2 linked regions of the Macaca mulatta genome follow. The protein of the gene in region 1 interacts with the protein of each later gene in a pairwise test. Links are inferred from orthologs where the notes say so. Each region holds a gene or a part of one and is shown on either strand. Other genes may lie near its edges.

The links.
Region 2: the proteins of CTNNA1 (region 1) and ARMC8 interact in a two-hybrid assay, tested with the Homo sapiens proteins (2 studies listed by BioGRID and IntAct). The link is inferred for Macaca mulatta from reciprocal best matches to the Homo sapiens genes CTNNA1 and ARMC8.

The regions. Positions count from the first base shown.
Region 1 is NC_133411.1:147,797,192-147,802,950, reverse strand, and holds the end of CTNNA1 (catenin alpha-1), read right to left. Parts: intron 5,617-5,759; coding exon 5,511-5,616; intron 3,917-5,510; coding exon 3,782-3,916; intron 2,776-3,781; exon of another isoform or gene 2,716-2,775; coding exon 2,428-2,715; 3' UTR 1,506-2,427; downstream 1-1,505. UniProt on the Homo sapiens protein: Associates with the cytoplasmic domain of a variety of cadherins. The association of catenins to cadherins produces a complex which is linked to the actin filament network, and which seems to be of primary importance for cadherins cell-adhesion properties.
Region 2 is NC_133407.1:41,235,912-41,241,929, forward strand, and holds part of ARMC8 (armadillo repeat-containing protein 8), read left to right. Parts: intron 1-1,879; coding exon 1,880-1,940; intron 1,941-4,500; coding exon 4,501-4,701; intron 4,702-6,018. UniProt on the Homo sapiens protein: Component of the CTLH E3 ubiquitin-protein ligase complex that selectively accepts ubiquitin from UBE2H and mediates ubiquitination and subsequent proteasomal degradation of the transcription factor HBP1.

The DNA.
Region 1 (5,759 bases):
TTTTACCGAGGGACATGGAAGCCGCTGGAAGGTCTGAGGTCGGAATGACCTGAGCTAACCTGTCTTAAGGGGCTACTTGGCTGTGGCAGACACTGGCAGGGAGGCTGGCTGTGGCCCCCACCGCCGGGCACTGGCAACCTCGTCCTTTCCTTCCACAGTGGACCAGCCTTGGTCTGTGTGTCCTGCAGAATACAGACGTGATGGGGAATCACTCTCCATATTAGGTTTTAAGGGAACACCGTGGCTTCCATCTGGCCGCCACTCGCAGATCACTGCTCTGGGGAAGCCAGCTACCACCAAGCTGTGAGCTGCCTGTGGAACGCGCCGTGCGGCGTGGAACTGAGGCCTTCTGTCAATAGCCACGCAAGTGAGCCTGGAAGCAAATCCTCGCCACGTCAAGCCCTCAGAGACGGCAGCCTTAGCTGGCATCTTGGCCACTTCATGAGACCCCAAGTCAGAACCATCCAGCTGAGCTGCTCCCAGATTCTTGACCTTCAGGAGCCATGCGAGGTCGCTTTAGCTGCAACTTGCTACACAGCAGTAACAGCAGGATGGCTTAGGCCAGGCGATGACAGGTAAATTATCCATACGTTTTAAAGGTCAGAATTTTGATTTCTTGTCACTAGAAGCCCATTGCACTATAGACCCACCTAAGAATTTTGATTTTTAGGCATTTGGCAAGAGGGAAGAGGGAAAGGGCAGTGACGTGGGGAAACCGGTATGGAGGGTATGGGGATGGGCGGTGGGGAGTAGGTGGCAAGCAGTTTGGACAGGTCAAGTCTGAGATTCATTAGACATCCGAATGGAGCATGAGGCGGCAGTCAGTTATAAAAGGCAGGCTCTGGGGAGAAGTCGGCATTTGTATGTCTTTACATGTGAGATTCTGCCTGAGCTCAGGAGGGTGGGCACAGACACAACCTCTCAGCCCCAGGAAAGGAGCCCCCAGTAAGGCAGGCAGAACCTGAGTGGGGTGTCCTGGAAGCCGAGTTAGCAGCATTCAGGAGTCCTTGTCCTCCTCCTCCTCCCCGCCACGCCCCCAGGCAGCTTGCATGATGAGGTCTGAAGACCATTGCCAGTGTCACTGGCAGTGGAAGGCAGTCGCCCTGACGAGGGGAGGTGGAGGGAGCAAGGCGACAGCCGGTTGGAAGTGAGAAAGGATCATGGGGTTCAGGGGTTTTCATCTCGAAGGCCGCTATCATCATAGGTGTGTGTGTGCTGACAGGAAGGACACAGGAGAGGGGACATTCATAATGAAGACGGGATGCCTCCGAGGTTGACATGAACCTCAAGGAATGGACATGTCAACTCCCAAGGTGGGGGTGCAGGGTGGGGCACTCAATAGGACAAGGGGCATGGCCCTCCCTGATGGGCTGGCATGAGCCGTGCAGCCTAGAGCCACAGCCTCCCTTCCGGGCATCCCCATCCTGGAAGAGAGGGACACCGGGAGGGCCCAGAGCACCACAGATGCTGTGAGCACTTGAAGGAAGAGATGACGACTTTGGCCTCTTGGATGTTGTGGTTTCATAGTGGACTTTATTGGGAAAAGTTAGTGTAAAAAACATTCAAAATTTGTAAAATTTATATAAGATGGTAAGTTATGCCTTGTAGTTACAGTAATCACTATAGTAATCACAAATAAGGTAAAGTCTAAATTACTGCCTTAGCACACACTATTTTGTCAGGTTTTTCTGCTGCAAGCCCAAGGTGGGAAACACTGCAATTATTAGAAGTGAGCCCAGTGATGAATTTGCATTTGAAGCTGGAAGAAAGAGAAAAGTGTGTTCTGATTACGACACTGTAGCCTAAAAAAAGCAACTTTATTAATGACCTGCAGCAGCGTACATTAGTAATTGTAACCATGCATTTAAATTCTCATTTCATGTCATAAAGAGAGTAATCAGTTTTCTTCATGAAACATTACGTTTTACTGAGTTTGTTCCTCTAAAGACCTTTCTGAGAACATTCCTTCTCCAGGGACTGCTTCCTGAGATGCCCAGGTTGCTTACCACAGGTCATCTTTGGTCATTTAAAAGCAGTCAAGCTGTCTGGACTGCACCCTCTCAACTGAGGTTGAGCCAAATTCCCTTCTCTTAAACCCTAATGCCGCCCTCACTAAGAGAATGGGCATCTCGGCTTGCTCAAAGCATTACTAACAAGCTAATGTGGGATTCTCTTTGGTTATGGAATTTTTACTTTTATTTAAGCATATAAAAAAATACAGCTAGAAGTAGGCTCCTGCATTCTAAAAGCATTTTTAATCAACTTAAACTATGTTCTTGGAAAATTCACCACCTGGACTGGTTCACAGTCTGCCCATTTCCCTGTGGAATCTGACATCAGTGTAGTATTTAGCAAATTCATTTGAGTGACAAACAGTGACTGATCTTCAGGAGCCCTGAGGGGTGGGGGCAGCTGGCCTGGGCAGACTTAGATACTGTCCATGGCTTTGAACTCGCTGAGGGCCTGCACCGGGTTCACATGCTTCTTCTGAGATGCCCGTTTAATCTTGGTCTGCGTCTCATCCTGTTTCTCTCTCTTCACCAAGGGCTTTTTCTCTGGTGCCTTCATCTTCCATGACACAGCAGGAAGGTTGAGGGAAGCCATACCCTGCGACTTTTGGTATTTGGTAGAGGCGACGTAGGATGCTTTCACTGTCTGCACCACAGCATTCATCAAGTTCTTGGCTGCCTGGATCAGGGACATGGCGCTGTCCACCTACAAGGCAGACAAGGGTGGTGAGAAGCACAGGCCTGACCTCCAGCATCGTGGACACAGGTGGGCTGTGCCTGAAGGGGGGCCCCCTACTCCTCTGCAAGACCAGGGCCTGGGCAGGTGGCAGAGGATTGGGCAGCAGCCTGTTGCTGAGGAACACCCTCAACAGTTGCTCTTACCTAAATAGCCTGGAAGCGCCTGCCCTCAGACCCTTTGAAGAAGACATGAGGCAGCCTCGCTTTGCTCACCCCCACCCCCCAGCAAGTGTTTATTCACTCAAAGCGGAAGCCACTGTGAGTGATCCCAGAGCTATAAGTACGTGGGGGAGGAGAAGCAGGAATCGAGACAGGGACGTTTATGGCAAAGCAGATGAGCAAATGGTCTCAATATGTTCAATATAAGAAGTGTTTCTTTTAAAGGAAATTTAATGGGATTAAAAGAAGCCACGGAGGCTCGCTGGACCCCAGTCCACTCAGCAAACCTCTTTCCCCTGCCCTAGGTGAGAAAGGCCTCAGAACTGTGACCTGATAAAAAGAAAGAGATGCTACCCAAGCGCTCTGAGGGGTGAAGGGCTTTCGAGAAAGCATCCTATCTATGTCTACTCTTAATTCCTCTCTGGGGGAAGAAAAGGAAGTTTTGTTTTATTTTGAGACAGAGTCTTGCCCTGTCACCCAGACTGGAGTGCAGTGGTGCCATCTCGGCTCACTGCAACCTCTGTCTCCCAGGCTTAAGCAATTCTTGTGTCTCAGCCTCCCAAGTAGCTGGGACTTACAAGCACCTGCCACCACGCCCGGTCCCAAGGAAGATTTTTAAAAATTTGTTCCCAGTGAGTGGCCAGCAAAGGGGAGGAGGCCAGCCTTTCAGCCCTTGCAGTGGCCCACACGTGTCACAGTTCTACAGGGAACAGATGATGGACAGACCTTGGTCTCCGGAGGCTGGGACAGGACTTGGGGTTTCTGCTCAGCACACTTTCCCAGGGCAGGTGTGTATGTGGATAGGAAGTGACTTTCATTTCTGACAAGGGTCAGCACGTTCCCACTGGCCCTCTTTTTTCTCAGCTAATGCTTACCCCAGAGACAACGAGCTCCCCGCCGAGATTCTGCACCTCGGCCTTGACCTTGCTGCAGATGTTGAGCTGGTGGCAGTAGAGGGCGATGCGTTGCAGGTAGGCCAGCAGGTCCTGCTTGCAAGCTGAGTCCGGGCACTGAAGGGAGAGCACGCTTAGCACCGAGCACCCTGGCCTGGACCAAGCACCTCCCACCCCATGGGTGTTTCTTAAAGGTTCAGGGTGGCACTCACATGCTTCCTGTCCTCTTGCTGGAGCAAAATCACCCAATTACCTGAGGCAGTCACAGCCCTTGCCTACACTCTGCTTGGGGATGGAGGCAGGTTATCTGATGGAAGTCGTTCATGGGACCCTGGCTGTGCCGCACGGCACTGGTTGTACAGCCAAGGCCTTCTGAGCCTCCCGCTGACTTCCCTTCTGTGACAGCAGGGAAACCACTCTGGCCAAGGATCCCCTCACCCCACATGGCAGGGTGGAGGCCTGTGCCCCTCAAGGTGAGAACAAGCCGGCTCAGCAAGTAGGAGCCTGGCTATGGAGAAAAGTCCAGATGTTTTGAGCTAAGTAAACAAATAGCTCTTCTGCTCAGATGCACTTTGCGTTATTAAGGCCTGATGACAAAAGCCACTCACTGCAGGCTGAGGTGGAGGATAAATGAGTAAAGAAAGCAAGAAAAAAAGCAGTCAGGGATGGTCAAAGAGAAAAGGGTGGCCCCTGCCCAGTTCCTGTCTCCCCCCATATCTCAGGGTTTTAGAGGCTCCCAGATTAGGACCAGCCTAGAAAGCTTTACCCAAAGGAAGAAACAGAGCACCTCTTAAGTGTTCATAGCAAGCAAAGTACACCACAGAGAGTGGTATGAACTGAAACCCTGCAGACCATACTGGAGATGAGCTGTATTCTAAGTAGTCATGGAAGCAGGGCAGCCATGTGATTTGCATTTTCAGATGACAGTATTGGCAGCTGGATGCAGAAGGAAGTGGAGAGAGGAAAGAATAGGAAATCAGGAGTAGCCGCAGTAGTCCAAGTGGCTATGGAGCTCTGCAGACAGGACAAGACTGGTTTGTGTTGAGATACATTTGGCTAATGGAAGCAATAGGCCCTATTACCGATTGTGTGGGAGTCAAGGATGCCTTTACAATCTTTGGCTTGAGTAAAGAGGGACGTCTCACACATCCTGTGGCCTAGATGAGGCTGAGAGTTTTGATATTTCAGGGAAGATGGTGGGGAGGTTTGTTAACTACAGAGAAAAACTATAACTGAGAAAGAGCCTCTCTTGATCAGGCTTAAAACACCAAATCAAACATATTGTACATTTCCAGGTGATATGAACCATATTTTTGTACCTATCACAGTGTGAGGGAATAGGGGGATGACGGCAGGGTGACTAAGAGCCACAGTGCTGAGGATGAAGAAACCTGGCCCCATCTGGGCACACCATCCTTCCACAGCACTGGCCACATGGCTTCTGGCTGCCCTCAGCCCCTGCCCAGAGAGGGAACTGAGACATAATAGACAACAGCAGAGGTTAATTTGGCTACAAGTGACGGAAGATTCCAGGACATCCACATCTGCTCTAGAGAATCCTTACGAATCTATGCTGGGATTAATAAGAACCATTTTTAGAGATGGGTGGCAAAAGTGCTGTGGCCCATGAAACTTACCCTGAATGGACCAGGCTGGGCTGCCTGAGTCCCAGAAGGAGCTTGGAGACCCACCTGGCAGGTCTGTCACTTACGTGATTTGCGATGGTGCGGCCAAGCCTGTCCATCCTGGATCCTGCCTCAGCAATTTTCTTGGCAGCACTGATGACATCTGATGTATTTTTGAGTGGTCCTTTACCTCTGAGAAGAGAGAACAAGGATCATTGTATGCGAAGCCCCTCACAGTTGGAGATGAGTAGAAAACAGATGTCCACAAAGCCCCATGGCCTGGGCTGTCTAAGCCGCTGTGCAGGTGACCTAAAGAAAGTGGCCCCTGTGCAGCC
Region 2 (6,018 bases), on another chromosome or scaffold:
AAAGTCAGGACAATTGGGAAGAAAGACAGTGCTTTATCAATATCTTAGAGTATTTTTGGACAGCTTGTTGCTTGCTTCCAATCCCCGTTTTATTTTGGGATTTTGAAATTTGAAAGTCAGAGTTCCATCCCACATTTTCTTAAATGGATGTGAGTTTTTTATACTCAGCTTGTTACTAGTAGTATGCAGAACAGGAACACTCATATAACATTTGAGACTGTCTTCAGAAAATTACTTTATTACATCCTCAAACTACTGTCCTTGTACTTCAGTTGAAATAATACTGAATTAGATTAAATTTAACCAACCTATACTATGCTAAGTATTAGCCAGGGAACTATAAGATATAGAAATATGGAATGAGAATTAGTTGAAGTTGATAACCACGGGATGATTTCAGAGAACGTGGCTTCCTCATCTTTCGAGGAAAACACACACACACACACACAAATCTTCATAAAATTGTGATGGTTTGTAAGATATTTATGCAAAGTTTTTTTTTTTCTTTTTTTTTTTTGAGACAGAGTCTCACTCTGTCACCCATGCTGGAGTGCAGTGGCATGATCTCGGCTCACTGCAACCTCCACCTCCCGGGTTCAAGCAATTCTCCTGCCTCAGCCTCTTCAGTAACTGGGATTACAGGCACGTGCCACCACACCTGGCTAATTTTTGTATTTTTAGTAGGGACAGGGTTTCACCATGTTGGTCAGGCTGGTCTCAAACTCCTGACCTCGTTATCCCAGAGTGCTGAGATTACGGGCATGAGCTACCGTGCCCGGCTGCAGAGTTTTTATTAGCACAATGTCTGGCTTATGTAAGCATTCAGTGCATGTTCGGTAATTATCAGTACATGAAATGGATGTGTTCAGCACTTGTGTAGGGTTCTATGCTCAGTTTAATCTTAGTATTTAAGCTGTGGTTCTAATATTTTGGTGAGAATTTGGCATTTTCAATTAATTACTCATGAATTGTTTGGTTTTTGTTTGTATTTTTTGCTTGCTTTTTGTCTTTAAAACTGAGCATTTGCCTCTGTCAGTAAGGTAATGTTCTCAAGTAAATGGTTTCAGAAAAACAATGTGGTAACAAGCCTCAAGATAATAACAACTACAAATATTTTAGCCCTCTACAATATAAGTAAAATAATTTTACCTATTTGTTTATAACTTGTGGTAGAAGCCAACATGGGATGTTTTAATTTTTTCCCCCATCTTGCTAAAGGAATGTAATCAAAAAGGAAATTCATTAATTTAAATTTCTGAAGCGCTTAATGTTCAGCGCCTGCCTAGGGAATACAAATTAATTATATTCTTATTCAAAGGCAGCTTACAATTGTTGTTCATTAGAACCAAATTATTGACTTGTTCCCAAAGCCACTGCTGTTAACCTCTGAATAGTTCATTTATGATGGATAGCTGTGTTACAAGTTAAATGCCTCTTCTGTGATACTTCTGCTGCATTCAGAGTTAGAATATTCCAACTTCACTTCATTTAAACTTAGATAACGTGTTAATCTTATGTTTCATTTTGAACATTTTTCCCTTTTTATTATGGAAAATTCTGACGTATAAAGAATACAACATGTGCCCAGCACCTAGCCTCAAAATGTGTCCATCATTAGGTTATTTATTTTTAAAACTATTTGGTAGGTTTTTGTTTTGTTTTTTTAATAGCTGGCTTCCCATCTGTATTTGTCAGTTAGTTTTCTTTGACAGTTAAATTGACTGAACCTCCGAAAAGCGAATTGTCAAAATCTTCACTCTCAAGATAAGTGATATTATTTGGTTTTCGATTTTTTTATAAAATCTTAAAAAGTTAAATAATTTTTCATGTAAAGCTTTAAACTCCAAGCAAAAACTTACTTTCTGCTGTCTTATTCCAGTTTAACTTACATGTGTAGAGCTGGAGCAATTCGGACAGATGATAACTGTATTGTATTAAAGGTAAGCTAATTAATTATCTTTAAAATGTGAAAATTATCCAGTTATGTGTTAAATATCAGTATTGATATTCATATTTCATTTTACACATTTATCATTATAGTACGTGTGCATGGCATAGAATAATATTAAAAGACCATGCTTTCTTTTCATTGGATGTCATATAGTTTTTAAAAATTGATTTTAGATGTGTTTTGAAAGTCAACGTGAAATAATTCTTTCATTGTCACAGCCTTTTCATTTTATGGTAATTAGGAGGATGTGGAAATTGTAAAAGTGTACAATTCAGGTGGAATAGAAAATATATTTTGTTCTTGATTGTCATTAAATTTGTATTACAGTTTTAGAGGCAGTTTGCTATTTTTGCAGAAAAAGACTTTATATCATTCTTGTAGCTGATAATCAAAAGGCATAATGAAAGACAATAAGTAGATAACACATGAAAACAAGCATTGTCATTGTGATATGTCATATACAACTTGAATTTAGAAAAACCTAGAGAAAAGACCAGCCCTAAAAGTCCTAAAACCTGGGATTCTGGTTTTAGCACTTCCACCTCTGACTGGACATCCTTTATTCTTTTGATGCCTCGGACTCCAGATTATGAAAATTGAAGCATTAATTCCTGCTCATCTATGCCACAGGGTTACTGTGAGGATAACAATATATTAAATACATTAAAATGTCTTATTAGCTATAAAAAATTAAGTATAAATAAATTGATCATGTGTCATTTGATAAATATGAGATCTCACATTATGATGTGAGAGGTGATCCCAAGGATAAAAGAGCACAAAGAAAACTAATATTTGCTTTAGTCTTTGAGGAAGACAATTAATTTAATGAGATCTGAACACTCCCTAAGTAAACAACTCTGCATAGAGTGCCACGGCCTTCCATAGCAATTATCTTGATTTATTTACTTCTCTAACCTTCCTCTTTTTCTGCATTGGTAAAATGTTAGTAGTATATTCTTCATGTAGTAGTCATGAGCATTAAATTAAATAATTCATGAATTTATGGTATCAATAAATATTAGTAACTAGTAATGTTAGGGAAAAAAGTAACTAGTAATGTTAGGGTTGAATTGTAAAGCTTCTTCTAGCCTAATAGGAAATTAGTAGTGAACGATAAAGTGCCAAGCTCTGTGGTAAAAGATTTAATAGAAACTTATATATAAAAGAGCAAAGCACAGTTGCCTGCAATATTTGAGGAAGACTTTCTATAATAATAACATTTCAATTTCTACTTCCACATTGTCCTTTCAAGTGGATCCATCAGGCTTAGAAATAGTAAATGTCATTTGAGACCAGCCTGGTCAATCTGGTGAATCCCTGTCTCTACTAAAAATACAAAAATTAGCCGGGCGTGGTGGTGAGCACCTGTAATCCCAGCTACTCAGAAGGCTGAGGAAGGAGAATTGCTTGAATCCAGGAGGCAGAGGTTGCAGTGAGCCGAGATCGCGCCGTTGCACTCCAGCCTGGGTGACAGAGTGAGACTCCGTCTCAAAAAAAAAAAAAAAAAGAAAAAGAAATAGTAAATGTCTGGAATATTTTTGTTGAGAACCTAATGTAGGTAAGTTACCAAAACCATTGCCAAGATTTTTGAGGGACCTCAGAAGTAAAATTGGACTCGTGGATACCACTACTAATTCCAGCAAGTTCTTGGGAGAAAACCTAGCAACTGTGAATGATACGCTTCACTCACATTATAGTAGAACTGGTGGAATCTGAGTAATGGTAAGATCACTGCAGGTTTTTTTTTTTTTTTTTGAGACAGTCTCGCTTAGTCGCCCAGGCTGGAGTGCAGTGGCGCGATCACGGCTCACTGCAAGCTCCGCCTCCCGGGTTCACGCCATTCTCCTGCTTCAGCCTCCCGAGTAGCTGGGACTACAGGCGCCCGCCGCCTCGCCCGGCTAATTTTTTGCATTTTTAGTAGAGACGGGGTTTCACAGTGTTAGCCAGGATGGTCTCGATCTCCTGACCTTGTGATCCGCCCGCCTCGGCCTCCCAAAGTGCTGGGATTACAGGCGTGAGCCACCGCGCCCGGCAGATCACTGCAGTTTTAAAGCTGTATTTTGTTTTGGCAACTGTAGGTATGACTCCCCAAACCAAAAAATAAACCATATTACTCACTAATGAAGAGATAGCATACTTTTCCTAAGGCAAAATCATTCCTGATTAAACTGCTGGGTCTCTTTTAGGTAAATAAATAGATGGATGGGGCAGAACCATTAGACATGATTTGTTAGAGATTCTTAAATGTCTTTTACAAAGTTGTACAATAGAACTTGTCTTACCGGTCCCAAAAGCCTAATTAGAATTTGTTTTAATATACTTTGATGTGTGAGTAGAGTTTATTGTGCCAGTACAAATGATTAATCTGTACTGAATTTTGCTTGTTTTTGCATTTAAAAAAAATCTTTTATGCTCTGGAAGTCAGTAAAGGAAATATTTGATCACAAACATTACTCCTGATAAAAGCTATTGAGTTGATTCAGTCACTATATGCTTAAGCTTTTACCTTTACCAAAAAGCAAATAATTAATCTCACTACCTTTCAGACATTACCTTGTTTGGTTCGAATGTGCAGTAAGGAGAGATTACTAGAGGAGAGAGTTGAAGGAGCTGAGACACTTGCCTATCTGATTGAACCAGATGTTGAGCTACAGAGAATCGCTAGCATAACTGATCACCTCATTGCCATGCTTGCTGATTATTTCAAGTATCCCAGCTCAGTGAGTGCCATCACTGATATTAAAAGGGTATGTTATTTTCCTTTTTTAGCAGCTCAATGGAGATTTTTTAGTTTTTCTTATTGTTCACAGTTTTGAACCAATTGATAACTACAGCTCAAAGCCCTTTTAAATAAAGGATCTTTTATCTTTGTTAACATAGATAATATTGCTTTGTAAGTTTTTGAATCCAAGTTGTTTAATATTTATTGTCAGGAAGTTTTTACTGAGCAGATAAGCAGTAAAGAAAATTGCATCCTGACTCCTAACTAAACCTCAAAAATAGTGGATTCTCCAAGCTGGGTATTGATATAACTGTATAGTCTTATGCTTGGTCATGGAATCATCTCTGTTTTTATATTCTCATTCTTTAGGTCAGGAGTAATCTTTTTGTTACAGGAGACTAAGTTGTCCCATGTTACTTTCCATCACAGTCTTTCTGTTTTGTTACCTTTCCTTATCTTCTCTTTTTTCCAGTTTCATACTGTGCTTTGGACCTGCTAGTGATAGCTAAAGCATCATTTAGTCTCGAATTTGGGACCAAAAAGGCCAAATTGTGCTTTTTCTGAAAAATCTAAGTTCCTTAGAATACATAGATATTTATTTTGACTTGTTGCATCTCGGCCTATTTGCCTTATCCATTTCTTTAAGCGTAGGCCATGAACATTCTGTAAGAGAAAGTTTATTCAAGGAGGCCATGGTAGAGAGAATATTGCCTCTTAATTAGTAACCAGTACTGTTTCATGAATGTAACTGTATTTTTCATGCCAGTGGTTCCAATGGTAGCTATTCTTTTGACCTCTCCCTCATGCTTTTGAATTTCAAAAAACCCCATCTGGTAGGCAGTTGTTCATTTGGCATTTAACGTTGAAAATAAAGCAGACTATTAAGGGTATATCTTTACTCTCTTAAGAGCCTAAAATAACCTTCATTGGTATTTGCATTAGTAATGTACTCTACCCTCTGGGTATTAAACTTATGTGTCTGCTCTTCTTTCACTAGTGGTGTTTTTCCAGTAGAAGTGATTGGTTACATACATTTAACCAGTTGCCTTGTCTGTTTTCCTTCTGGTCGTTTTTTCACACTGACACTATATCTCACCAATATAAAGATACATGAGCAACCCTTAACTACTGCCTCATGAACACCCTGAGTTGACCACCCAGGAAGGCAAAAAAATGTCTTGATGGCCATGAGAGTAAGGAAACATAATTTTGAGAACATGTAGCCTATGCATATGCAAATCATTTAACTAGTACGTAGATCATCCCTTCTATTAGTTTTTCCATTTCATTTCCATCAGTAAAACTGTAACAACAATAATCCTTAAAAATGACTTCCTAATAC